Linked DNA regions of Anolis sagrei. The protein of the gene in region 3 interacts with the protein of the main gene of each other region in a biochemical or structural test. Links are inferred from orthologs where the notes say so. Each region holds a gene or a part of one and is shown on either strand. Other genes may lie near its edges. The genes, in order: TLN1, LRRK1, RET and GRB10.

The links.
Region 1: the proteins of RET (region 3) and TLN1 interact in a surface display test, tested with the Homo sapiens proteins (2 studies listed by BioGRID and IntAct, with this or other methods). The link is inferred for Anolis sagrei from reciprocal best matches to the Homo sapiens genes RET and TLN1.
Region 2: the proteins of RET (region 3) and LRRK1 form a complex in vitro, tested with the Homo sapiens proteins (2 studies listed by BioGRID and IntAct, with this or other methods). The link is inferred for Anolis sagrei from reciprocal best matches to the Homo sapiens genes RET and LRRK1.
Region 4: the proteins of RET (region 3) and GRB10 form a complex in vitro, tested with the Homo sapiens proteins (2 studies listed by BioGRID). The link is inferred for Anolis sagrei from reciprocal best matches to the Homo sapiens genes RET and GRB10.

The regions. Positions count from the first base shown.
Region 1 is NC_090022.1:302,405,519-302,412,469, reverse strand, and holds the start of TLN1 (talin-1), read right to left. Parts: upstream 3,012-6,951; 5' UTR 2,924-3,011; intron 1-2,923. UniProt on the Homo sapiens protein: High molecular weight cytoskeletal protein concentrated at regions of cell-matrix and cell-cell contacts. Involved in connections of major cytoskeletal structures to the plasma membrane.
Region 2 is NC_090029.1:13,127,595-13,134,532, forward strand, and holds the start of LRRK1 (leucine-rich repeat serine/threonine-protein kinase 1), read right to left. Parts: upstream 3,023-6,938; 5' UTR 2,867-3,022; intron 1-2,866.
Region 3 is NC_090023.1:154,104,446-154,112,270, forward strand, and holds the start of RET (proto-oncogene tyrosine-protein kinase receptor Ret), read left to right. Parts: upstream 1-4,816; 5' UTR 4,817-5,280; coding exon 5,281-5,329; intron 5,330-7,825. UniProt on the Homo sapiens protein: Receptor tyrosine-protein kinase involved in numerous cellular mechanisms including cell proliferation, neuronal navigation, cell migration, and cell differentiation in response to glia cell line-derived growth family factors (GDNF, NRTN, ARTN, PSPN and GDF15).
Region 4 is NC_090026.1:61,950,788-61,958,089, reverse strand, and holds the start of GRB10 (growth factor receptor-bound protein 10), read right to left. Parts: upstream 3,008-7,302; 5' UTR 2,684-3,007; intron 2,134-2,683; exon of another isoform or gene 2,023-2,133; intron 1-2,022.

The DNA.
Region 1 (6,951 bases), on a different chromosome or scaffold from region 3:
TGTCATCACAAGGGTTTAATGCATCGTGCCACCAAGGGACAATAATAATAATAATAATAATAATAATAATAATAACAATATAAAAACTTTATTTCTATCCCACCCTATCTTCCCAATGGGGAATCAGAGGGGTTCACAACACACAGCAGCAACTATTTATCTGTATTTTAAATTTTATGGTGTATTTTTATGGCATTGAATGGTTGCCTTTTATGTTGTAAGTCACCTCTAGTACCCATGAGGAGATGGGGTGGTGGTATATAAATAAAGTTCAATTGATTGATTGATTGAACCGTTCTGAGTTCCCATTCGGGAGATAAGATGGGATAGAAATAAAATTTTATTATTATTATATTTTAAATTATATACTAATGGTTTCATGTCAAGCTGCTTTGAGTCCCCTTTGGGGAGATAAAGCGGGTTATAAATAATAATAATAATAATAATAATAATAAATGAAAAGTCGACAATGACAGATCCCAAATGTAGACTCTGCAAGGAAGCAGATGAAACAATAGATCCCATCCTCAGATGCTGCAAGAAGATCGCGCAGACAGACTCCAAGCAGAGGCGCAACACCCTTGCTCAGATGATCCATTGGAACTTGTGCCACAAACACCATCTGCCAGCGACAAGAACTGGTGGGATCACAAGCCAGAAAAAGTAACAGAGAATGAACACGTCAAGCTACTCTGGGACTTCCAAATTCAGAGTTTTGGAGCACAAGACTCCTGACCTCATGATCATATTAAAAAATGAAGTATGGATCGTTGATGTTGCAATCCCAGGCGACAGCAAGATTGAAGAGAAGCAACTGGAAAAGCTGTCATGCTACGAGGATTTCAAGATCGAACTGCAAAGACTCTGGCACAAACCAGTCAAGGGGGTCCCAGTGGTGATTGGCACACTGGGTGCAGTGCCTCAAGACCTTGGCCTGCACTTAAACACAATCGGCGCTGAGAAAATCACCACCGGTCAGCTGCAAAAGGCCACCTTACTGGGATCTGCATGCATTATTTGCCAAGACATCACACAGTCCTAGACCCTTGGGAAGTGTCCGATGTGTGATCCAATACAACAACCAGCAGAGTGATCTTGTCTGCTGTGGACTCATCTTGTTGTGTTTCTAATAATAATAATAATAATAATAATAAATGGAAAAGCTGACACGATATGAGGATTTAAAGATTGAACTTTACATGGAGATTTCATCTGAACATGAGGAAGAACTTCCTGACTGTGAGAGCCGTTCAGCAGTGGAACTCTCTGCCCCGGAGTGTGGTGGAGGCTCCTTCTTTGGAAGCTTTGAAACAGAGGCTGGATGGCCATCTGTCAGGGGTGCTTTGAATGCAATATTCCTGTTTCTTGGCAGAATGGGGTTGGACTGGATGGCCCAGGTCTCTTCCAACTCTTGGATTCTATGAACTGCAAAGACTCTGGCACAAGCCAGTCAAGGGGTTCCCAGTGGTGATTGGCACGCTGGGTGCAGTTCCTCAAGACCTTGGCGTGCACTTAAACACAATTGGTGCTGACAAAATTATCACCTGCCAGATGCAAAAGGCCACCTTATTGGGATATGCACACATTATTCGCCGATACATCACACAGTCCTAGACACCTGGGAAGTGTCCGACGTGTGATCCACTACAACAGCCAGCAGAGTGTCTGCTGTGGACTCATCTTGTTGTGTTTCAAATAATAATAATAATAGAAAGTGTCCCAGAACCATGATTTTAATTTTTTTCTAAAGGTCATAAGGCAGCAGATCTTACCTCCTTTGGGAGTTTGTTCCATAATAATATTAATTATTATTATTATTATTATTATTATTATTACTATTATACAAAGTGCCCCCATTCTTTCACGAGTCCCCCTGGGGAGGTAGTGTGGGCTCCAAATAAAGTTTATTACTATTATTATTATTATTATTTGAAACAGAAATTATTATTATTATTATTATTATTATTATAGAAAGTGCCCCCATTCTATTCTTTCATGAGTCCCCCTGGGGAGGTAGGGTGGGCTAGAAAGTTTATTATTATTATTATTTGAAACACAAATTATTATTATTATTATTATTATTATTGTTATTATTATTGTTATTATATGAGTCCCCCTGGGGGGGCTACAAATAAAGTTTTTTAAATTATTATTATTATTATTATTATAAACACAAATTATTATTATTATTATTATTATTATTATTCTAGAAAGTGCCCCCATTCTTTCATGAGTCCCCCTGGGGAGGTAGGGTGGGCTACAAATAAAGATTATTATTATTATTATTATTATTATTATTTGAAACACAAACTATTATTATTATTATTATTTGAAACACAAATTATTATTATTATTATTATTATTATTATACATTCTTTCATAAGTCCACCTGGGGAGGTAGGGTGGGCTAGAAATGAAGATTATTATTATTATTATTATTATTTGAAACAGAAACTATTATTATTATTACTATTATTATTATACATTCTGTCATAAGTCCACCTGGGGAGGTAGGGTGGGCTACAAATAAACTTTATTATTATTATTATTGTTTGAAACACACATTATTATTATTACTATTATTACTGAGTTTATTCCAAAAAGTTTCTGCTAGTTGCTTAAGTGGCTGGGAGGGGGGGGGGGGAGGAAAGGGCTTGAGTCTGTGAGGAATTCTGGGAGTTGTAGTCCCAAACACTTGAAGGGAAGGCCCAAGTGGGCCCAGGCCTGCCTGAAAGCCCCAGCCTGACTTTAGTGACCCCTGAATGGCTCTTTGGACCCCCCAAAGCCCCCCCCCCCTCAGAGAGGGACCCCCGCCCCCTCCTCACCCCAAAGAGAGAGGCACCCCCAACCCCAAAATAGGCCTGAGGACGCCCCCCAAAGCCCCCCTCCCCTCCCCTCCTCCCCTCCCCTCCTCCCTTCCTACCTGGGGACTCTCTCTCTCTCTCTTGAGGCGTCGGCTTTGGCTCTGGCCGAAGGGGCGTGGCCAGCGCAGCCTCTCCCTCAAGCCCCGCCTCCTGGCGCCCCGCCTCCCTCCCTCCCTGCCCCGCGCATGCCCAGAGCCTCCCGCCGCCTCCCTCCCGCCATCTTGGGAGAGGCCCGCCTCCTCGCCGCCATGCTGGGGGGGGCGGCGGGCAGACCACAGCGCCATCTTGTTTGCGGGTGGGGGAAAAGGGGAAGGAAACGGCCGCCCCCTAGAGGGACTTTTGGGGTACTGCAACATGTATTTATTTAGCAACAGCTTTTAAAGGGGAAAAAAAAGAGGAAAAGGAAAAAGGAAAATATTATTATGATTAAATATTGTATTTGTTATATCATATTATTAATTTATTATTTTCTTACATTACATTATTATAATTATTAAATATTTATGTTATCTATATATATATATATATATATATATTAGGGCTGGGCGGTTTCGTTCGTTAATTTCGTAATTCGTTATTAATTCATATTTAAATTAGCTTACGATCCGATATTGAGCCATGCAGGAGTAATTAAAAATCGAAACGATTTTTTCAATTTGTTTCGTAATTGTTTCATAATAGTTTCGAAATTGTTTTGAAATTGTTTCGTAATTATTTTCGCATTTTTCAGCATATTTTTAGCATATTTGGAGGGGTTTTTTTTGCATATTGCGCAATTGCGTCCGCCATTAACTAATCAATCTGAAATTTACGAAATTTCATAAATTTCGAATTTTTTTAAAGAAAAATTTCGGAATTCTTTTAAAAATCGAAACGCAAAAAAACCCTAAAAACGAAACGAGTTTAGAAACAAATTTTTCCGTTGTTACCCAGCCTTAATATATATATATGATCTGGCCACAGTGGTCCACGCTCTTGTTACATCCCCCCCCCCCCCGAATAGACTACTGCAATACACTCTACATGGGGTTGCCATTGAAGACTGTTCGGAAACTTCAACTGGTCCAGCGAGCGGCAGCCAGATTGCTCACCAAAGCGACATACAGGGAGCACACCACCCCCCTGCTGTGTCAGCTCCACTCACAAAATTTTTTCATGCCATCATGTCATCACGGCGCCTCCATGATGACATGATGGCAACAGTTTTGGCACTGCAATGGCTCCCAAAGTGACCCATTTAAGGTGGAATCGGGTGTCAAACAGGGATGATGTGTTATTGCCCCAACTTTATTCTCCATCTTCATTGCTATAATACTTCACCTTGTTGATGGGAAGCTTCCCACCCGAGTGGAAATCATCTCTCAGACAGATGGCAAGCTATTCAACCTCAGCAGACTGAAAGCCAAAACCAAGGTTACAACAACATCTGCTATAGAACTCCAGTATGCTGATGACAACGTCGTCTGTGCGCATTCAGAAGAAGACCTACAAGCCACTCTAAACACCTTCGCAGAAACTTATAAGAAGCTCGGCCTGTCACTGAACATCGAGAAAACCAAAGTGCTCTTCAATCAGTCACCAGCCATCCCCTCCCCAATGCCAGAGATACAGATTAATGGTGTAACATTAGAAAATGTGGACCATTTCCGCTCCCTTGGCAGCCACCTCTCCACCAAAGTCAACATCGACGCCTAAATACAACACCGCCTGAGCTCTGCGAGTGCAGCATTTTCCCGAATTAAGCAGAAAGTGTTTGAGGACCGGGACATCCGTAGGGAGACCAAGGGGCTTGTCTATAAAACTATTGTCCTCCCAACCCTGCTATATGCCTGCGAAAGGTGGACAGTCTACAGATGTCAACATTGACACTAAAATGCAACACCACCTGAGCTCTGCGAGTGCAGCATTTTTCCGAGTGAAGCAGAGAGTGTTTGGGGACTTGGATATACATAGGGATACCAAGGGGCTTGTTTATAAAGCTACTGTGCTCCCAACCCTGCTCTATGCCTGCGAAACGTGGACTGTCTACAGGCGTCACATGCAACTCCTGGAACGATTCCATCAGTGCTGCCTCCGGAAAATCCTGCAAATCTCTTGGGAAGACAGGCAGACAAATGTCGTGCTGGAAGAAGCAAAGACCACCAGCATTGATGCGATGATCCTCCGCCATCAGCTCCGCTGGACTGGCCACGTTGTCTGGATGCCCGACCACCATCTCCCAAAGCAGTTGCTCTATTCCGAACTCAAGAACGGAAAACGGAATGTTGGAGGGCAGGAAAAGAGATTGAAAGATGGGCTCAAAGCCAACCTTAAAAACTCTGGCATAGACACATAGAACTGGGAAGCCCTGGCCTTTGAGAGCTCCAGCTGGAGGTCAGCTGTGACTAGCAGTGCTGCAGAATTTGAAGAGGCACGAATGGAGGGCGGAAGGGAGAAATGTGCCAAGAGGAAGGCACGTCAAGCCAACCCTGACCGGGACCGCCTTCCACCCGGAAACCAATGGCCTCACTGCGGGAGATGATGCAGGTCAAGAATAGGGCTCCACAGCCACCTACAGACTCACAAGAGTTCTGATCCTGGAAGACTATCTTACTCGGCCAACGAGGGATCGCCTAAGTAAGTAAGTAAGTAATACATCTCTAAAGCAGTCCAGGGCTAACATGCACTCGGCCAAAGGTCCTGCCGAGTTTCCTAATCTTTTCTCGGCTATTTCCCAATGCATCCCAATGTCATCCCTTTGCGCTGTTTTGCAGTAATGCAAAGCCATTAAAATAATGATATGACCTCTAGTAGGACTTTTGAAACGGACTGTCTTAAGAGACAGTCCTGGCACCCAGGGTGACAGTAGTGGGCTCTGGAGGATCTTCTGAAGATCTGCTATATCTGTTGTGCATTGGCACATCTTTGTACCTGAGGTCAACGAACCCAGAACTCTGACTTGCAGCAGAGAGTTCCACAGTTCTCTATCGTCTGCTTGGGCCAACTTCTATGGAACGTGGCCACAGCAGCAGCTACAATCAAGAAACCTTCTTTTTGCTTCACTTTCTTCCCCTTCCTAACATTGTATCAAATACCCCAATAAAGTACTTACTTACTTAGGCGATCCCTCGTTGGACGAGTAAGATGGTCTTCCATTCTGGATTTCCTTGTGGGTCCGTATGTGGCTGTGGAGCCCTATTCTTGCTCTGCATCTTCTTCCGTAGTGAAGGCATTGGTTTCCAGGTGGAAGGCGGTCCCGGTCGGGGTTGGCTTGACGCGCCTTTTTCCTCCTGGCACGTTTCTCTCTTTCACCCTCCATTCGTGCCTCCTCAAATTCTGCAGCACTGCTGGTCACAGCTGTCCTCCAGTTGGAGCGCTCAAGGGCCAGGGCTTCCCAGTTCTCAGTGTCTAAGCCAGAGTTTTTGAGGTTGGCTTTGAGCCCATCTTTCAATCTCTTTTCCTGCCCACCAACATTCCGTTTTCCGTTCTTGAGTTCGGAGTAGAGCAACTGCTTTGGGAGACGGTGGTCAGGCATCCGGACAACGTGGCCGGCCCAGCGGAGTTGATGGCAGAAGACCATCGTTTCAGTGCTGGTGGTCTTTGCTTCTTCCAGCACACTGACGTTTGTCCGCTTGTCTTCCCAAGACATTTGCAGGATTTTCCGGAGGCAGCGCTGATGGAATCGTTCCAGGAATTGCATGTGACGTCTGTAGACAGTCCACGTTTCGCAGGCATAGAGCAGGGTTGGGAAGACAATGGCTTTATAGACAAGCACCTTGGTCTCCCTACGGATGTCCCGGTCCTCAAACACTCTCTGCTTCATTCGGGAAAATGCTGCACTCGCAGAGCTCAGGCAGTGTTGTATTTCGGTGTCAATGTTGACTTTGGTGAAGAGGTGGCTGCCAAGGTAGCGGAAATGGTCAACATTTTCTAATGTTACACCATTAAGCTGTATCTCTGGCATTGGAGAGAGGTTGGCTGGCGACTGCTGGAAAAGCACCTTGGTTTTCTCAATGTTCAGTGACAGGCTGAGAAAACCCAATAAAGTATCACTTAATAGTAAATTTTTCTCTTCCTAGTATTACTTTGTGTCTTTTACTGCCTCCAA
Region 2 (6,938 bases), on a different chromosome or scaffold from region 3:
CTTGGACTGCGAGAAGATCCAACCAGTCCATCCTCCAGGAAATAAAGCCTGGCTGCTCACTGGAGGGAAGGAGACTAGAGACAAAGTTGAAGGAGGAGACAGCAAAGCCTAGAGAAGACAATGATGCTGGGGAAAGTGGAAGGTAAAAGGAAGAGGGGCCGACCAAGGGCAAGATGGATGGATGGCATCCTTGAAGTGACTGGACTGACCTTGAAGGAGCTGGGGGTGGTGACGGCCGACAGGGAGCTCTGGCGTGGGCTGGTCCATGAGGTCACAAAGAGTCGGAGACGACTGAACGAATGAACAACAACAACATACAGGATAAAACACATACATACAAATATTAATAAATTAACATGAGTCAAATGCTCTAGTAAAAAGCCAGGTCTTAAGTGATAGGATAAAATGCCCTAAGTGACGCATGGCTCTCATATAGGGTGGCAAGGAATTCCATAAGGCAGGGGCAGAAATGGAGAAAGCCCATCTGCGTCTGGTGCTTTCCAAATGCACTTCTCTAGGACCCGGTATATAGAGCAAATCGCGTTGAGATTGTCGTAGCAACCTCCAATGATGGGAGAAGGAGAGACGGTCTCTAAGATACAATGGACCCTGGCCATATAAGGTTTTAAAGGTCAGGACCAGCATCTTATACAAACCATGATAATCAATTGGAAGCCAATGTAGATGCCGCAGCACTGGAGTTATATGACATTTCAAAGGCATTTTTGTGATTAACCTGGCCTCAGCATTCTGTACAATATGGAGCTTTCGGGTCGTAGACATCGGAAGGCCAACATATAAGGCGTTGCAATAGTCCAGCTTAGATGTGACCGTGGCATGGACGACTGTTGCCAGCGCCTCATCCGATAGGTAAGGTAACAATTGCCTCGCTTGTCGTAGATGGAAAAAGGCCTGTTTGCTGGCAGCAGCGGCCTGAGTTTCCATTGTCAACTGCGAATCCAAAACGACACCTAGGCTTGTCGAAGGCTTTCATGGCTGGAATAACTCAGTTCTTGTGGGGTTTTTTCGGGCTATATGGCCATGTTCTAGAGGCATATAGCCATATAGCCCGAAAAAACCCACAAGAACTGACACCTAGGCTCTTAACGGTAGGCGGAGATAGAGCAGCACCATCAAAGGTGGATAGCAAATGGGTCAGACCTATCGAGCGGCCATGCCAGAGAATCTCAGTCTTTGCCGGGTTCACCTTCAGCCTACTAGCACGTAGCCAGTTCGACAGAGCCTCCAGACATAAGGTGAAATTGTCTGGTATTGTCGTTGCTCCCGGCTCCAAGCGCAACAGGAGTTGGGTGTCATCCGCATATTGATAGCAGTCCAAGCCAAATCTCCAAGCCAAACTGGCAAGGAGTCTAACGTAGATGTTGAAAAGAAGAGGGGAGAGAACTGCACCTTGGGGTACCCCGCATTCATAGAATCAAAGAGTTGGAAGAGACCTCATGGGCCATCCAGTCCAACCCCCTGCCAAGAAGCAGGAATATTGCATTCAAATCACCCCTGACAAATGGCCATCCAGCCTCTGCTTAAAAGCTTCCAAAGAAGGAGCCTCCACCACACTCCGGGGCAGAGAGTTCCACTGCTGTACGGCTCTCACAGTCAGGAAGTTCTTCCTAATGTTCAGATGGAAGGGGGGAACTTTGGAGGGGGGAACTTTTGGAGACTTGATCCATATATTCCATGCACTGACTCCGGTTAATGAGACATGCTGCATTATCATGGGGTGTCTGCGCCCTACACCACTGGAGAAATTACACTGTTTAGCTGGTATCGCACCACCTGACATCCGCCGGGAAGTAGCAGCAAATAGTGAAAGGACCAAGGCTGTGACATCTCCAGCTCTTCCCTTGTTTGGGTATCAGTCAGCACGTCAATGACTTAAATCAAGAAATATCTTTCTAAGATCTACAGAGACACTCGCTGGAACACCTCAGCAAGCGAGAGTCCAAAAGTGGCAGGCTCAAACCCAGAACCTCAACCAATGGCTGATACCAAATGAGAGACTCCCCCCTGGGCACACAGAAGACTGGGCGACTTGGAAGGCGCTGAACAGACTGCGCTCTGGCATCACGAGATGCAGAGCCAAACTCAAGAAATGGGGCCACAAAGTTGAATCCTCGACATGCGAGTGTGGAGAAGAGCAAACCACTGACCACCTGCTGCAATGCAACCTGAGCCCTGCCACATGCACTATGGAGGACCTCCTTGTGGCAACACCAGAGGCACTCCAAGTGGCCAGATACTGGTCAAAGGACATTTAATCAACTACCAAGCTTGCAAACTTTGTGTTTTGTTTTGTTTGATTGTTAAAAAATGGACACAGCATATTATTTGAGAACACAGAAATGCTGGACCACTCTCACAACCACCCTGTCAGACTGCACAGAGAAGCCGTTGAAATCCACTAGAAGCATGTGGACAATTTCAACAGAAAGGAGGAAACCATGAAAATGAACAAAATCTGGCTACCAGTATTAAAAAAAAACTCTAAAATTACAACAGCAAAACAACAGAGGGAAAACAATCAGGGACAGCTAATCACCTCTCAACAAAAGATTGCTCCAGGCACTGCCAGGCCATCAAATGCTAATCAAGGTGGTCAGTTGAAACATTCACACCTAGCTCCAGCAGACAAGAGTCTTTTGTCCCACCCTGGTCATTCCACAGATATATAAACCCATTGTCCTAGTTCCAACAGACTTCACTACCTCTGAGAATGCTTGCCATAGATGCAGGCGAAACGTCAGGAGAGAATGCCTCTAGAACATGGCCATATAGCTCGAAAAAACCTACAACAACCTAGTACAGGGGAAGTTTGCAAACTTTGCAACACTGTATCCTTAATGCTCACCCCGCCAGGACCGGGAAAAGTGGCTTTTCTGGGAGTTTTCTTTCCCTCCGCTCCCGGGTTCCAGGTGCGGTTGGTTGTCTTCGGAGGAAAGGAGGAGGAAAAAAGAAGGAGGAAGGAAAGAAGGAAGGAAGGACGAAAGAAAGAAAGAAAGGGGTGGCCCAAGCAAAGCGGAAGAGCCGGCTCGAGCGCTCCCTCTGGAGGCCAGAAGCGGAATCGCGGCGCTCGTGGCTCAGAAGCTGCTGCTAGTAGTGCTTCCTCTCCTTTGGACGAATTCTAATCTCCTTTTCCTTCTTCCTGCTTCCTTCCCCTTCTCCACCTCCACTGTTACTACTTCTCTCTCTTCCCTATTAGTACCGTTTCCCGCACTACTATTATGTACTATCTCTCTTCTTTGCCTTTCACTACTACTACTTAGAATCATAAAATCATAAAGTTGGAAGAGACCTCATGGGCCATCCAGTCCAACCCTATTCTACCAAGAAGCAGGAATATTGCATTCAAATCACCCCTGACAGATGACCATCCAGATATATTCCACACTGGGCATGCGTATTCAGCAGCAGAGTAGCCAAACAAAAGGGCAGATGCCTTCACTGTGTCTGGTTGTGACCCCCAGGTTGTTCCCATCAGCTTTCATATGATATTCTTTCCAGCATAGAATCCTAGAGTTGGAAGAGACCTCATGGGCCATCGAGTCCAACCCTATTCTGCCAAGAAGCAGGAATATTGCATTCAAAGCACCCCTGACAGATGGCCATCCAGCCTCTGTTTAAAAGCCTCCGAAGAAGGAGCCTCCACCACACTCCAGGGCAGAGAGTTCCACTGCTGAGCGGCTCTCACAGTCAGGAAGTTCTTCCTCATGTTCAGATGGAATCTCCTCTCTTGTAGTTTGAAGCCATTGTTCCGTGTCCTAGTCTCCAGGGAAGCAGAAAACAAGCTTGCTCCCTCCTCCCTGTGGCTTCCTCTCACATATTTATACATGGCTATCATATCTCCTCTCAGCCTTCTCTTCTTCAGGCTAAACATGCCCAGCTCCTTAAGCCGCTCCTCATAGGGCTTGTTCTCTAGACCCTTGATCATTATAGTTGCCCTCCTCTGGACACATTCCAGCTTGTCAATATCTCTCTTGAATTGTGGTGCCCAGAATTGGATACAATATTCCAGGTGTGGTCTAACCAAGGCGGAATAGAGGGGTAGCATGACTTCCCTGGATCTAGACACTATGCTCCTATTGATGCAGGCCAAAATCCCATTGGCTTTTTTTGCCACCACATCACATTGTTGGCTCATGTTTAACTTGCTGTCCAAAAAGACTCCAAGATCTTTTTCACACGTACTGCTCTCGAGCCAGGCATCGTCCCCTATTCTGTATCTTTGCATTTCGTTTTTCCTGCCTAAGTGGAGTATCTTGCATTTGTCCCTGTTGAACTTCATTTTGTTAGTTTTGGGCATTCATCTCTCTAATCTGTCAAGATCGTTTTGAATCCTGCTCCTGTCCTCTGGAGTATTGGCTATCCCTCCCAATTTGGTGTCGTTTGCAAACTTGATGATCCTGCCTTCTAACCCTTCATCTAAGTCATTAACAAAGATGTTGAACAGGACCGGGCCCAGAACAGAACCTTGCTTATGGCACTCCACTTGTCACTTCTTTCCAGGATGAAGAGGAAGCATTGGGGAGAATCACCCCCTGGGTTCGTCCACTTAACCAATTTCAGATCCACCTCACCGTAGTTTTGCCTAGCCCACATTGGACTAGTTTCCTTGCCAGAAGGTCATGGGGGACCTTGTCGAAGGCCTTCCTGAAATCCAGGTACTTGCGTTTCTTCTTCCTGTCTCTCAACCCCTCCTTGTTCTTTCCTTTCCACCAAAAGTACTATTACAGTACTAGTTCTTCCAACTTCTTTAATCACTGCTACTTGTTCTTCTGTCTCTTCATCTTTTTCTACTACTAGTAGTAACGACTTCTTTCTCCTGCTCCCCTACTACTACCTAATCTTCCTCCTTTCCTTCCTCCAGTACTACTATTTCTCCTCTTCTTCTTTATCCCCTCCTCCCTTACTACTACTATTCTTATTCTTTTTCTTCTTTCTTCTCTGCCATGATGAATGTGTCTTCATCTTCCTGCACTACTAGTAGGTTCTACCTCTCATCTTTTGCCTTCCGCTACTAGCTTTTTCCTCTTCCTGTCTCTCATTGTCTTTTTCTTTCCACCAAGCGTACTACTACTTCTTCCACCTCTTTCTCCTCCTCTACTTTGCCTTCTGCCTCCTCATCCTTTTCTACTACTACTAGTACTACCTCCTTTGCTACTACTTGTTCTTCCTCCTGCTCCCCTACTACTGCTACCTGGTCTTCCTCCTTTCCCTCCTCCAATAACTACTGTTTCTCCTCTAGTTCCTTATCCCCTTTCTCCCTTACTACTGCTCTCATTTCTTTTCTTCCTCCTCCTCTATGACTAATACATGTTCCTTTTCCTGTATTACTAGTAGGTACTAACTCCTATTTGTTCTTCCACATCTTTCTCCTCTACTACTACTTATTCTTCTGTCTTTTAATTCTTTTCGTCTACTACTGCTTTTTCTTTCCAAAGAAGTCTCAAAGTGGCTACTACTAGTAGTACTAACTCCTTTGCTACTACTTGTTTTTTCTCTTGTTCCCTACTACTTCTGCCTGGTCTTTTTTCTTTTCTTCCTCCAGTACTGCTACTATTTCTCCTCCTCCTCCTCTTCACCCCCCTCCTCCACTACTTCTAGTTGTTCTTCCTTCTGTTCTTCCTTGTCCATTACTGCATTTACTCAAGTCCAATATAGCATCAAATCTAATGCACACCTCAATTTCCAAAACCCTGAAACCCAAAACAGGATCCATCATATTCCACGAATCTAACGTGCACCCTAATTTTGGGAAGGTAATTTAGTCCAAAAAAGGTGAGCATTCGAATGGAGTAAATGCAGTATTTCTCCTCCTTCTCTTCTTTATTCTCTTTGTCTGCTACTACTTCCTTTTCATGGCATAAAAATGGGGAAAGCCTGTTGCGAATGCCTCTGGAAATGTCATAAAGACAGTTTCGGGTTTTCCCCAAAATTACACTTAAACCTCCTTTGAAATGAGACCTGGACAGACACATCCTGTTTTTTGTTATTATTATTATTTCAAGGGCTGCAAAAACAGAACAGGAACTGGTTGCAAAGTAATCAGACTAGGACACGGAACAATGGCTTCAAACTACAAGAAATAAGAGTCCATCTGAACATGAGGAAGAACTTCCTGACTGTGAGAGCCATTCAGCAGTGGAACTCTCTGCCCCGGAGTGTGGTGGAGGCTCCTTCTTTGGAAGCTTTTAAACAGGGGCTGGATGGCCATCTGTCAGGGGTGATTTGAATGCAATATTCCTGCTTCTTGGCAGGGGGTTGGACTGGATGGCCCATGAGGTCTCTTCCAACTCTTTGATTCTATGATTCTAAACCCTTGTGCCAACAGAAGTGAAGACTGACAGGTCATAGGTTCGAATCCGAGGAGAGCGTGGATGAGCTCCTTCTGTCAGCTCCAGCTCCCCATGTGGGAACATGAGATAGCCTCCCATAAGGATGGTAAAACATCAAAACATCCAGGCAATGTCCCCTAGGCAACGTCCTTGCAGACGGCCAATTCCCTCATACGAGTAGCGACTTTCGGTTTCTCAAATCGCTTCTGACACACACAAAAAAATCCCACTGAACATAGAATCATAGAATCAAAGAGTTGGAAGAGACCTCATGGGCCATCCAGTCCAACCCCCTGCCAAGAAGCAGGAATATTGCATTCAAATCACCCCTGACAGATGGCCATCCAGTCTCTGCTTAAAAGCCTCCAAAGAAGGAGCCTCCACCACACTCCAGGGCAGAGAGTTCCACTGCTGAACGGCTCTCACAGTCAGGAAGTTCTTCCTCATGTTCAGATGGAATCTCCTCTCTTGTAGTTTGAAGCCATTGTTCCGCGTCCTAGTCTCCAGGGAAGCAGAAAACAAGCTTGCTCCCTCATCCCTGTGGCTTCCTCTCACATATTTATACATGGCTATCATATCCCCTCTCAG
Region 3 (7,825 bases):
CTGTTGGAGGGCCGGATTATAATTTGAAAAAAATATATGAATGAATTCCTATGCACACTGCACACATCTTAATTGTAGTGCAAAAAAAAAAAAAACAACACTTAAAAACAACACATTAATTAAAATGAAGAACAATTTTAACAAATATAAACTTATTAGTATTTCAATAGGAAGTGTGGGCCTGATTTTGTCTGATGAGATAGGATTGTTGTTGCTGTTGGGTACTTTCAAGTCATTTCAGACCCTGAGTGAGGGCAGGGTTAATGACCTTGGAGAGCCATATCCGGCCCCCGGGCCATAGTTTAAGGACCCCTGGGTTAGAAAGACATGGATGTTGCACTCTTTGGCAGAGAACTACAACTCACAGAATTCCATTGAATTCAGCCAGGGCAGTTCAAGTGGCAGCAAACTGCATTAAATGGACAGTGTAGATGCACAGATGGGGCGGGGGGGGGGGGGGGGAAGAACCATGCATATTTCTGAATGAAAGCAATGAGATAGCAGGTTGAATAGCTAAATTTGTGCGCCAGTTGCACCCCTACCTTGGGAAGTCTGATCTGGCCACAGTGGTCCACGCTCTTGTTACATCCCGAATAGATTACTGCAATGCGCTCTACGTGGGGTTGCCTTTGAAAACTGTTCAGAAACTTCAACAGGCGGCAGCTAGATTAATCACCGGAGCGTCATACAGGGAACATACCACCCCTCTGTTGTGTCAGCTCCACTGGCTGCCGATCCACTTCCGAGCACAATTCAAAGTGCTGGTTTTGACCTATAAAACCCTATATGGCTCCGGCCCAGCGTACCTGTCCGAACGTATCTCCTTCTATGTCCCACCTCGGAGTTTAAGATCTTCTGGGGAGACCCTGCTCTTGGCCCCGCCTCTATCACCAGTGAGGCTGGTAGAGACGAGGGACAGGACCTTCTCAGTGGTGGCCCCTCGCCTGTGGAACTCACTCCCTGGGGAAATTAGGTCCTCAACATCCCTCTTCTCCTTCAGAAGGAAGCTGAAACATGGATATGGGACCAGGCTTTTGGGTAATCTGGCACACTGACAAGGTAATGACGACCAGAACTTGGAAAGGACTATGGTAATGCTGAATGGACTTACAGATTTTAGAACTTGGTGAACGTTGGCCACTAGATTGGCTTTTTAGTTGTTATTGTATTAATTGAGTGTTTTAACTATTGTGGTTATTGTTGTTATGTATTTTATCTGTTGAACTGTTGGCATCGAATTGTGCCAGTTGTAAGCCGCCCTGAGTCCCGTCCCCCCCCCCCCCAGGAGGTTGAGAAGGGCGGGGTAGAAGTGCCCGAAATAAATATAAATAAATAAATAAACTACAAGCAAGCAACTCCTGGGGGTATGTGTGTGTGTGTATATATTATGTATATATATAGATAGATATAGATATGGGGAGATATATAGATATGGGGAGATATATATATATATATATATATATATATATCCCTATCAATGCATTCATGCACCCATCAATTCACAGGAGTTGCTTGCTTGCAGTTTAGGAATTCAATTGCAGTATATAAGTGTATGTCTGTTGGAAATGCTTCCCTCTCCCCCTTGAGCTACAAGTTTTGGCTTTGTGTTGTGTGACTCTGAGCTGCAGTGCTGGGACCCCCAACGCAGAAAGTTCATCAAACTCTTTCTTGCAAAGTAATAATCCTAATTAAAAAAAACCTTCTCCCAGTGGGACCGATGCTTTGTGGGCTGGTGTTGGGAAGCTTGTTGTGCTCAAGAAGGGGAAGCGTCTGCGGCGTGAAAAAGCTTCCCTTCCGCATGCGTCTTGAGCTGAGAGGCTTTTAGCCGGGTATTGATGGCTTGCTGGGAAAGCATATGGGTTGCTCCAAGTTTTTTCCATCCTCATTTGTGGTTCAAATATTGTGCTCCTAAGCGAGAGGCATCTCACGTCGAAGGATACTTTGGGTGCCGGCCAAGCAGCTTGCCTCGCCTTCAGCGTCTTCTTTTCACTGTCAAAGGCAGGCAGAGAAGGGGGCGGCTAGTACCTAAATACCCCCCAAAGGCCACAGATTCCCATGTGGAAGGGCCCTTAGATAACCCAGTTCAAACCAATACTGTGGATCAGGGATCCTCAAACTAAGGCCCGGGGGCCGGATGCGGCCCTCCAAGGTCATTTACCTGTCCCTTGCTCAGGGTCAACCTAAGTCTGAAATGACTTGAAAGCACACAACAACAACAACAACAACAACAACAACAACAACAATTCTATCTCATCAACCAAAAGCAGGCCCACACTTCTCATTGAAATACAAATAAGTTTATATTTGTTAAAATTGCTCTTCGTTTTAATTATTGTATTGTTTTAAAGTGTCTTTTGTGCTACAAATAAGATATGTACAGTGTGCATAGAAATTAATTCATGTTTTTTTCAAATTATAATCCGGCCCTCCAACAGTTTGAGGGACTGTGACCTGGCCCTCTGTTTAAAAAGTTTGAGGACCCCTGCTGTGGATTATCGGCCATGAGATTCTGGATTATATGATTCATTGAATCATTGAATCAAAGAAGCAAAGAGTTGGAGGAGACCTCATGGGCCATCCAGTCCAACCCCCTGCCAAGAAGCAGGAATATTGCATTCAAATCACCCCTGACAGATGGCCATCCAGTCTCTGTTTAAAGGCTTCCAAAGACAGAGCCTCCACCACACTCCGGGGCAGAGAGTTCCACTGCTGAACGGCTCTCACGGTCAAGAAGTTCTTCCTCATGTTCAGGTGGAATCTCCTTTCTTGTAGTTTGAAGCCATTGTTCCGCGTCCTAGTCTCCAGGGAAGCAGAAAACAAGCTTGCTCTCTCCTCCCTGTGCCTTCCTCTCACATATTTATACATGGCTATCATATCTCTTCTCAGCCTTCCCTTCTTCAGGCTAAACATGGCCAGCTCCTTAAACCGCTCCTCATAGGGCTTGTTTTCCTGACCCTAGGGCTGGAATTCTCCAGATTCCAAGGGTCCCTTCACACAGCTGTGTAAAATCCCATATTATCTGCTTTGAATTGAGTTACACAGCAGTGTGGACTCAGGGCACTTTCACACAATCATGTAACACAAGATGTCAAGGTAGACAATTCCACAATATCTGCATTGAACTGGGTTATCTGAGTCCACACTGCTGCATATCCCAACTGAAAGGAGATAATATGGGATTTTATTCAGCTGTGTGGAAGGGGCCCCAGACAACCCAGTTCAAGACAGATTTTATGGGATTCTCTGCCTTAGTATTATTTATTTATTATTTACTAGCCATCCCCTGCCATGCATTGCTGTGGCCCAGTCTGTTGATCTGGAAAATAAAGTAATGAGAAAGTGTTGGTTTCTAATATATGTAATTTCTTTATGCTTGTGAATAAACAGTATTTCTTGCTGTTTCTTTGTCAGTGTTGATGTGGAGAGTGTCTGGTTTGTCCACCCTGGAACATGCAACATATCATTGTCCTTCTTTAAGGGTCCCTTTCAAATCTATGATACTATATCTCTATGTGTGTTGATCATATCTATCATCTATCTATCTATCTATATCTATGGCTGGATGGCTCTTTGTCAGGAGGACTTTGATTACCCTTTCTTGCCCTGATGAAGGAAGTTGGATTGGATGGCCTTAAGTATTTCCTGTTGGTCATAGGGGTTCTCTGCGGGAAATTTGCCCCAATTCTGTTGATGGAGTTCAGAATGCTCTTTGATTGTAGGTGAACTATAAATCCCAGCAACTACAAATCCTAAAAGTCAAAATCCATTGTTTTGAGTGATGGTCACTCCTTGGGATAGTAGGTATATTGTTTCCAAATTTGGTGGCAATTCACCCAGTGGTTTTTTAGTTATGTTAATCCCACAAACAAACATTACATTTTTATTTATATACTAGCCGACCCCTGCCACACATTGCTGTGGCCCATTCTGGTGGTCATGGGGGTTCTGTGTGGGAGGTTTGGCCCAATCTATTGTTGGTGGGGTTCAGAATGCTCTTTGATTGTAGGTAAACTATAAATCCCAGCAACTGCAACTCCCAAATGTCAAGATTCTATTTTCCCCGAATTCAACCAGCATTCACATTTGGGCATATGGAGTATTCAAGGCAAGTTTGGTCCAGATCCATAATTTAAGGTTGATAATCAGTGCACAGTGATCTCTGGATGTAGGTGAGCTACAACTCCAAAACCAAAGGACACTGCCCACCAATCCCTTCCAGTATTTTCTGTTGGCCGTGGGAGAACCGTGTGCCATGTTTGGTTCAATTCCATAGTTGGTGGGGTTCAGAATGCTCTTTGATTGTAGCTGAACTATAAATTCCAGCAACTACAACTCCCAAATGACAAAATCAATTTTTTTTGAATGAAGGGCATACATTGGGTTGTTAGGTGCCTTGTGTTCAAATTTGTTGTCAATTCGTCCAGTGGTTTTTGAGTTCTGTTAATCCCACAAACGAACATTATATTTTTATTTATATAGAAGATTTACGACATTAGGGGCAACGATTCGATGCCCAGTCTGGGTCGAATGGCTGTGTGGAAGGGCCTCATGACCCAAGCTTGGGCAACACCGCCCTGCGGCATAGAGATGGCCCATGCAAAATCCGAAGGGCCTCTTTCACCCATCAGCGTTGACCCTGTATGTAGGTGTCCACATCCTGGAAGGTGCGCGCGCTTGGGACTTCCCTGCTGCAATTCAGAGGAGGGGGCCTGGCGCGAGCCCTCCCCTCCTTCCTGCTCCCTGCCGCGCGCGCTGCACTCGTACTGGCAGTGGCTCCACTCCTTTTTCCAAGCCTCGCGCGCCCTCCTCCTCTTCCTCTCCTCCTCCCCGCTTTCTTGAGCGCGTGCTGCACTTTACTCATTAACTACAGCGGCGGGGCGCAAGTTGCCCATTGGCTGCCGGGAGAGCGCCCTCAGCAGCCGAAGAAGAGCTCATTGGGACCGAGGCGGCGGCGACAGAGGAGCATCCTCGACGCCTCTTGTTTGTTTCGGGGCGGGAAAAGTGCTTCTGGTGGCGGAGAAGAAGAAGAAGCGCTCGCGTCGGACCTTGTTTCCTCCCTCTTTCTTCTCCAGAACGCGACGAAAGCGCTTCTCCGCCGGGCGCCTTGTCTCGCGCCGAGACGGACTGATTGGCGTTTCTCTTGCGACGCGAAGCCATGAGGCGCCCGGCCTGAGGGACAGGCAATCTCTCTCTGGCACGCGCGCGGACTCGGGGACCCGTTCCCACTTTGGAGAGGAGCTTCGAAGGGGAATCCCTGGGATTATCGCGTGGAGGGAAAGGATGCCGCCCGCCCGATGGGCCCTCGGGGTGGTGGCCCTGCTGTGTCAGGGTAAGTGGCTCACAGAAGGAGAGAGAGAGAGGCCTGAGGTTCATCCCTCTCTTGGGTCGTCTCCTTGCCATGCCCCTCCCCACGATTTCTGGGGCTCAGCAGCCAAACACCTGCTTAAACGAGCGCACACAAAAAGGTTCCCCTTCCTCTTGGCTTGTTTGTGGTCTTCGACGTTCTTGGATGGGGAGCAAACCTCAAAGTGCAAACCCAAGAGCCTGTCCGCTACTTACGAACAAGATCGGCGCTCTAGGTTGAATTTGTAAGCCGGAAGTGGTTCGATTACAATGTTATGTGAGTTTTCCTGGCTGTCTGGCCATGTTCCAGAAGCATTATCTTCTGACGTTTTGCCCACATCTATGGCAGAGGTTGGGGGATCTGTTGGAAACTAAGCAAGTGAGGCTTATCTAATCTATCTATCTATCTAAATAAATAAAAATGTAATGTTTGTGGGATTAACATAACTCAAAAACCAGTGGGCGAATTGGCACCAAATTTGGACACAAGACACCTAACAACCCAATGTATGTCCTTCACCAAAAAAAAAAAAAAAGATTTGGGAGTTGTAGTTGCTGGGATTTATAGTTCACCTAAAATCAAAGAGCATTCTGGGTTTGGTGAGCACAGGCATGTAGCGGGGGGGGGGGGGGGGAGCTTGGAGGGCTTCAGCCCCCCCCCCCCCCGCCCCCGAAATTCTCATGGTGGTTCGAGAAAAGGCCTTATTGGTGCATTATTTAAACTGTTATGTTTATTCATATCTTGATCTGATCACCATGCTCAATATATCCCATATGCATTGGGGTATTGGGGTAACTACACAAAACGTTTGCTAAGGTAGACCCTCTTTCACTCAGACTCAGCCCCCCCCCGAACCCCAGCCCCCCCCCCCCCCGAACCCCCTCTGAAAAAAACTCACCCCCCCCCCCCCATGGCAGAGGTTGAGGGATCTGTTGGAAACTAAGCAAGTGAGGTTTATCTATCTATCTACCTGTATAAATAAAAATGTAATGTTCGTTTGTGGGATTAACATAACTCAAAAACAAGTGGGCGAATTGGCACCAAATTTGGACACAAGACACCTAACAACCCAATGTATGTCCTTCACTAAAAAAAATGATTTGGGAGTTGTAGTTGCTGGGATTTATAGTCCACCTACAATCAAAGAGCATTCTGGGTTTGGTGAGCAGTGTCCTTTGGTTTTGGAATTGTAATTCACCTACATCTAGAGAGTACTGTGGACTCAAACAATCATCATCATCATCATCCTCTACATCATCTAATAACTTATTAATCGCCCTCCATCCGAGAATGCTCAAGGCGATGATCTGGACCAAACTCTACATGAATACTCAATATGCCCAAATGTGAACACTGGTGGAGTTTGGGAAAAATAGAAACTTGACATTTGGGAGTTGTAGTTGCTGGGATTTGTAGTTCACCTACAATCACAGAGCATTCTGACCCCACCAACGATAGAATTGGGCCAAACTTCCCACACAAAACCCCAATGACTACCAGAGTGGGCCACAGCAACGCGTGGCAGGGGACGGCTAGTATATAAATAAAAATGCAATGTTCGTTTGTGGGATTAACATAACTCAAAAACCAGTGGGCTAATTGGCACCAAATTTGGACAGCATACACCTAACAACCCAATGTATGTCCTTCACTCATTTTTTTTTATTTTGTCATTTGGGAGTTGTAGTTCTTGGGATTTATAGTTTACCTACAATCAAAATATTCTGAACTCCACCAATGACGGAATTGAACCAAAGGTGACACACAGGACTCCCATGAGCAACAGAAAAGACTAGAAGGGTTAGGTGGGCATTGACCTTGAGTTTGGGAGTTGTAGTTCACCTACATCCAGAGAGTACTGTGGAGTCAAACAATGATGGATGTGGACCAAACTTGGCACAAATATTCCATATGCCCAAATATGGCTGTGGAACACCCTTCCCACAGAAATTAGATCGGCCCCCTCCTTGTTCACATTTTTGAGGAAAGTGAAGACCTGGTTGTTTGAGCAGGCATTTGAATAGGCAGTGTAACTAATATAGAAATATGGAACATTTGGATGATGAGACTGGATCTTGATTTTAACTATGAGACGAGATGAGATGTTATAATGTTTATTGATTGTTATAATGTTATTCTTTTAGCTTGTTTTTAACTGTTTTTTATCATGTTTAAGTATTGTACTTGCTTTGTTAACAGCTCTGAGTCGCCCTGAGGGCTGACAAGAGCGGAATACAAATATAGTAAATAAATAAATAAATAAAAAATATCAACACAGATGGAGTTTGGGGAAATAGACCTTGACATTTGGGAATTGTAGTTACTGGGATTTATAATTCACCTGCAATCAAAGAGCATTCTGAACCCCACAAACGACAGAATCTGGGCAAACTTCCCACACAGAATCCCCATGAACAACAGAAAATACTTAAGGCCATCCAGTCCAACTCTCTTCACCAGGGCAAGAAAATGTAATCAAAG
Region 4 (7,302 bases), on a different chromosome or scaffold from region 3:
GTTGGACTGGATGGCCCATGAGGTCTCTTCCAACTCTAGGATTCTATGACAGATGGCCATCCAGCCTCTGTTTAAAAGCTTCCAAAGAAGGAGCCTCCACCACACTCTGGGGCCAAGGCATGTAGCCGGGGGGGGGGGGTGTTTGAGGGGCTTTAGCCGCCCCCCCCCCCCAAATTCTCATGGTGGCCCTCGAGAAGGCCTTACTGGTGCATTATTTAAACTGTTATGTTTATTCATATCACGATCTGATCACCATGCTCAATATGGGGGTATTGGTGTTACAATACAAAAGGTTTGCTAGGGTAGACCCTCTTTCACTCAGACTCAGCCCCCCCCCTCCCCGAATCAAAATCCTGGCTACAGGCCTCCCTGGGGCAGAGACAGGCCCGTAGCCAGGAGCTGAGTTTGATTCAAAGGGGGGGGGGGGGGACTGAGTCTGAGTGAAAGAGGGTCTTTACAAAAGGTTTGCTAGGGTAGACCCTCTTTCACTCAGACTCGCCCCCCCCCCCCCCGAATCAAGCTCAGCTCCCCCCGAAACATAATCCTGGCTACGGGACTGCCTCTGCCCCAGACAGGCCCGTAGCCAGGATTTTGATTCGGGGGGGGGGGGGGGAGTTTGATTCGTGGCAGGGGGCTGAGTCTGAGTGAAAGAGGGTCTACCCTAGCAAACCTTTTGTATTGCTACTCCAATAACCCCATGCATATGGGATATATTGAGCATGGTGATCAGATCATGATATGAATAACATAACAGTTTAAATCAGTGGTTCTCAACCTGGGGGTCAGGACCCCTGGAGGGGTCACGAGGGGGTTTTAAAAGGGTCGCCAAAGACCATCAGAAAGCACAACATTTTCTGTTAGTCATGGGGGTCCTGTGTGGGAAGTTTCACCCAATTCTATCATTGGTGCAGTTCATAATTCTCTGATTGTAGGTGAACTATAAATCCCAGCAACTACAACTCCCAAATGGCAAACTCTATTTTCACCAAACTCCACCAGTGTTCATATTTGGGCATACTGAGTATTCATGCCAAGTTTGGTCCAGATCCATCATTGTTTGAGTCCACAGTGCTCTCTGGATGTAGGTGAACTACAACTCCCAAACTCAAGGTCAATGCCCACCAAACCCTTCCAGTATTTTCTGTTGGTCATGGGAGTTCTGTGTGCCAAGTCTGCTTCAATTCCATCGTTGGTGGAGTTCGGAATGCTCTTTGATTGTAGGTGAACTATAAACTACAACTCCCAAATGACAAAATTAATCCCCCCAACCCCACCAGTATTCAAATTTGATCCAGTGATGAAAATACATCCTGCATATCAGATATTTACATAATAACAGTAGCAAAGTTGCAGATATGAAGTAGCAATAACAATAATTTTTTGCTTGGGGGCCACCACAACATGTGGAACTGTATTAAGGGGTCGTGACATTAAGAAGGTTGAGAATCACTGGTTTAAATAATGTACCAGTAAGGCCTTCTTGCGGACCACCATGAGATTTTCGGCTACATGCCCGGCTACATGCCTGGGCAGAGAGTTCCACAGATGAACGGCTCTCAGTCAGGAATAAATGTTAACCTGCACTGGTCATCTTCACTTCAGGCAGTGTATGCAAAATACACAGAAAGAGTGAAAAGAAGAGACTGGGCTGCTCTCTCTTTAAGTGGAAGGACCAAAGGATGCAACAAGTAGAAATCAGCATGTAACAAGTGGGAGAATTCAGAAACAGGGGCTCGAAGGAGACACAGACACCAAAGCGAAGGCAGAAGGAATCAACAGCTGTCACAGGACCAGAAAGAAGAAGATTCCTCCCTCAAAGCAACCAGTGGTTCCTTTTTTCCCTGCACTCTTGGAGGGAAGGTGGCCAATCCTCCTCGGGGGTGATCAAAGCAGCCCAGGCCTTGCCTCAGAGTTTGCCCTGGCTCTTCCAGCCCCGCACGCTGGAAAGTTTTGCAAAGCATTCCTCACTCTTTTGGGGGAAGACGCCACCAGCACAATGGGAGCGAGACCAAGCAGACCCACCTTGGCATCGCCTTTACAAAGTTGAAAGAACAGCTATACGAGGCGTGCATTGCATTACCGGGTGGGTGCAGAAGTCCTGGCTCCGTCCTTCCTCCTTAAATCCGGGGAAGTGCCCACATTCGATTCCCCCCTCCCCTCACCTCCCCTCAGTACACGCGCGCGCGCCGCATTCCCTCCCTTCAGGAGAAAGGCGAAAGGGAGCGCGCGCCCGCCACCGCCGCCCCTGATTGGCAGAGCCGGGCAAGCCCCTCAGAGCTCGTTGCTTAAGGCCAGGGGCGGAGGGGGAGGGGAGGGGGAGGAAGGGAGAGAGGAGGAGGAGGAGGAAAAAGGCTGGCTCCACCCTGGTTTATGATGCAATGTGGAGAGGGCACCCAAGCTCCGGCCGGGAAGGGAAGTTTGCACGCCCCTCACGAAGCGCAAGGGAAGGGAAAGGAAGGGGGGCAAGTTGAGAACCACCCTTTCCCCGAGCGCGCGCACACACACACACTCTCTCTCTTTGCTCCCGAGAAGGCACGCGCCTGGCGTCCTCTCGCGAGCCGCAGAAACAACTCCCAAAGTTCGTCCCGTGCGAACTGCGCGCGAGGAGGGAAAGGGCCACGACGCCCTGCGCGCGCGCGCCCCTCCTGCTTCCTGTCAAGCCCCTCCGCGACGGGTGACTTACCTGCAAAGTCAGTCAGAGAGTGATTGAGGGAGTGAGCGGCGCGCTCGGCTCCCGCTCCTCCTCCTCCTCGTGGCCTCCCTTTCCGCCTGCACCTCCCTCTCCTGAGCTGATTAAGTTTCTCGCAGCCTGGACTTGGCAGCGCGAGGGGAAGGAAGGGCGCCTGCCCTCTCCGGGAACTCTTTCCTGGGGAAACGAAGGGGAAGGAGACGGAGGGAACCGTCTGGTCTGGCGCCCCTCCTCAAGGAAGGTTCCGCCTGGGAAGCCTCGCGCCAGCTGACTCGCCCACCCCTCTCTCCCTCTCTCTCGCTCCCTCTCTCTCCTCAGGCGATGGCCCCTCCCCCTCCGGGGCGCGCTAGCCCCGCCCACGGTCCCTCCCTCTCTCCCTCTGCCGCTCGCGCACGCAGTCGCAGCTCGCGCCGGAGCCGAGGCCAAGTTTGGCTCGGGATTCAGGCTCGCTCGGGAAGTCCCTCAGACGTCGGGAAAAGAGGGCCTGGGTCCCTCAAGGGGCATGGCGGAGTGGCTTCTGAGGAAATATGCCTCTTTCCAACTTTCCCCGCCCCTTTTCCGCCAGGGGAAATGTCTACACCGCCCTAGCTCTATACCTCAATACAACACCGCCTGAGCTCTGCGAGTGCAGCATTTTCCGAATGAAGCAGAGAGTATTATCGAAGGCTTTCATGGCCGGAATCATTGGGTTGTTGTAGGTTTTTTCGGGCTGTATGGCCATGGTCTAGAGGCATTCTCTCCTGACGTTTCGCCTGCATCTATGGCAAGCATCCTCAGAGGTAGTGAGGTCTGTTGGAAATAGGAAAATGGGTTTATATATCTGTGGCATGACCAGGGAGAGACAAAGAACTCTTGTTTGCTGGAGCTAAGTGTGAATGTTTCAACTGACCACCTTGATTAGCCTTTGATGGCCTGGCAGTGCCTGGAGCAATCTTTTGTTGAGAGGTGATTAGATGTCCTTGTTTGAAGTAGAGCTGCTAGAACAAGAACAAGTCACGAGAATAAAGACGAAGATCCACCCACAGGAAAAGTGTTCCTGCCATACATCAAGGGAACCACTGACTGCATAGGGCACCCAAATACCTGGGAGTCACCCTGGATCGTGCTCTTACCTACAAGAAGCACTGCCTGAACATCAAGCAAAAAGTGGGTGCCAAAAACAATATCATACGAAAGCTGACTGGCACAACCTGGGGATCACAACCAGATACAGTGAAGACATCTGCCCTTGCGCTGTGCTAGTCTGCTGCTGAGTATGCATGCCCAGTGTGGAACACATCTCACTATGCTAAAACAGTGGATGTGGCTCCTAATTAGTACTTCTCTAACTACCTTTGATGTAGAAGCCCTCGTTACATGGCCAATGATTAATAAATCAGGGAGTTGATATCCAAAATGTCTCTTATCAGAAGTAAGGAAAGGGTTACGTCAGCGTGCAGAAGAAGTAAAGACCACCAGCACTGAAGCAAGCGTCTGGAGAACAAGCCCATGAGGAGAGGCTTAAGGAGCTGAGCATATTTAGCCTGAAGAAGAGAAGACTGAGAGGAGATATGATAGCCATGTATAAATATGTGAGAGGAAGCCACAGGGAGGAGGGAGCAAACTTGTTTTCTGCTTCCCTGGAGACTAGGACGCGGAACAATGGCTTCAAACTACAAGAGAGGAGATTCCATCTGAACACGAGGAAGAACTTCCTGACTGTGAGAGCCATTCAGCAGTGGAACTCTCTGCCCCGGAGGGTGGTGGAGGCGCCTTCTTTGGAAGCTTTTAAACAGAGGCTGGATGGCCATCTGTCGGGGGTGAATTGAATGCAATATTCCTGCTTCTTGGCAGGGGGTTGAACTGGATGGCCCATGAGATCTCTTCCAACTCTTTGATTCTATGATGGTCCTCCAGGAACAGCCCTCCCCTTGGCTGAGAGGCTGGCCAATCACAGCTTTTGGTGGGTGAATTCGCTGTCTGTTTCCAAAAAGGAAGAGAAGAACAGGCAGAGAGTTCTTCAGCCTTCTCTGCCAAAGATTCCTAAGACCATCAGAAATATGTTTTCTTATGATCTCTGATGACCCTTCTGAAACCCCCTCGCAACCTCTGCAGGGGTCCCAGGTTGAGAAACACTGTTTTAGAAAAGAGCCAAAAACTCATTTGAGTAGAATCCTCTCAAATGGAATGCAACCAAAGGTAATATGCAAGGTGATTGGCTTCAGTTATTAGACTGAGTGACCTTTGTCTCTGATCTGATAGGAAACAGAGAATATGCCGGTGCATTAAAATAGCAGTTCTTCCAAAGGGTCTACTCTCCCATAAACAACTTGTTTTATAGTATGCATACTAGAGACACATTAAAGTAGACTTTGGTAAAAAAATAATAATAATAACATCTGGTTTAATCACAACCTTCATTTGTTCAGCATACACAATTTATCAGTCAGTTACAGATATGTTTGAGATAGTTTCTGTCCGATCCGGTCAGAACACCTCTCATAATAATCCACAAGCATTTGCAAGTATGCAATCTGAGCAGTCCAAAACTCTAAAGAAGTCTGTGCTCGGCCCAGAGTGGATCATGTGGTCTGCAGCCCCTCCCACAACTTCTCAGGAAAAACATAGAGCAAAGAAAGAAAGCTGCATAGCAGAACATACATCCAATGAGGAAGCAACAGGATTGTAGATGATCAATTTACTAGAGGAGGTTTTAAGAAGGTTGTAATTTCCAACACGGCTAAATAATTTTAGACCAAAAACAGGCAACAGCTACTGCATTATCTGTGGTTTTAAACAGTTCTTCCTTTGTGCATGAGGCAGGGCATTGTGGACTAACATAGGCAGAGGCGACCCTAGGTAATTTTCAACGGTAAGCAAACAGTATTTTGGTGCCCCCCCCCCCCAACCAATCACTGGTATATATATATATATATATATATATATATTCTGTTCGTTGTGGGAGTTCTGTGTGCCATATTTGGTTCAATTCCATCATCGATGGAGTTCAGAATGCTCTTTGATTGTAGGTAAACTATACATCCCAGTTCTGTTAGAAATGTAATATAATTTGACTGGTTCTGTTAGAAATGTTATATAATTTGACTGGTTGTTCTGACACGACAAATAAATATACATCCCAGTAACTACAACTCGCATATGTCAAGATCTATTCCCCCCCCCCCCCCCAAGAGCGCCTCAAGAGCTCCCCTGGGCAAAATCAACTATACTGCAAATGCTTACTTTGCGTAATGGGTTGAGCCGCCCCTGCATATAGGTGCTGAGTTGTTTGTCCTGCTCCTCGAATCACACAAGGTGGAGGATTCTTCTAGGTTGTGCCATTTAGCCATGTTGTCTTTTGATCTGCCCACTCCACTTCTGAGTCTGTTCAGGGACTTCCGACTTGTCCATTCTTGGTTTGCCCCTGGAGGAAGACCCTCGTGGGGGGCCACCTAACTGGAATAGCCTGTTGCTGGAGGAACATTAGGACGAGTAGTGGTTCTCCTGAAACTTTTTCTTGATTTGAGCCTACTGGGAGGAGGCTGAGAGCCATGCAGTGGATGGCTTTCACAGTGTTCAACCTTATTTCTCTCATAGTTGGCAACAACTTCCCATAGCACATCCGGGGGGGGGGGGGGGGCAATGCTAGCTAGCTTATAGAGCAGGCATGGGCAAACTTCAGTCCTCCAGGTGTTTTGGACTTCAACTCACACAATTCAAAACTGTAGGAGGTGAAGTCCAAAACACTTGGAGGAGGGCCAAAGTTTGCTCATGCCTGGTACATATAAATGAAACCTTTACTGATCATAAATCATAGATTTCTTTCCAAACAATTGCATATCATTTTTACTCTGTGTCAAAGGCAAAAGCCAATTTGCATACCAATGAGATGGATACATATGAAATCTTGGCAGAATATTTGATCCTGCAGCATGGAAGACAACTTCCAACATTTTTCATGCCTGGCTTATAGCTTCAAGTTGGCACGACTCTATTTTTTTCTCCTTGATTCATGTAAATTCCTAAAATAACCACTAGTTGGCAGGCTGCACAGATTTCTCACAAGTTTCCACTCACAATCACTCGCTTGATTATCAAGCAAAAAGTGTGTGATACAGATAATATCATACAAAAGCTGACTGACACAGCCTGGGGATCACAACCAGTTACAGTGAAGACATCTGCTTTTGCTACTTTGCTGCCCAGTGTGGAATACATTCCACCGTGTTAAAACAGTGGATGTGGCTCTTAATGAGATATGCCACATTATCATAGGATGTCTCCTAAACCGCTGGAGAAATTATACTGTTTAGCTGGTATTGCACCACCTGATATCCCCCAGGAAGTAGCAACCAGTAATGAAAAGACCAAGGCATTGTCAGCTTCGGCCCATCCTCTGTTCAGATATCAGCCAGCATGCTAACGTCTTAAATCAAGAAACAGCTTCTTAAGATCTACAGAGATGCTCGAAGGAACACCTCAGCAAGCGAGAGTCCAAAAGTGGCAGGCTGAAACCCAGAACTTCAATCAGTGGCTGATACCGAATGAGAAACACCCTCCTGGGCACACAGAAGACTGGGTGACTTGGAAGGCACTGAACAGACTGCGCTCTGGGAACACAAGATGCAGAGCCA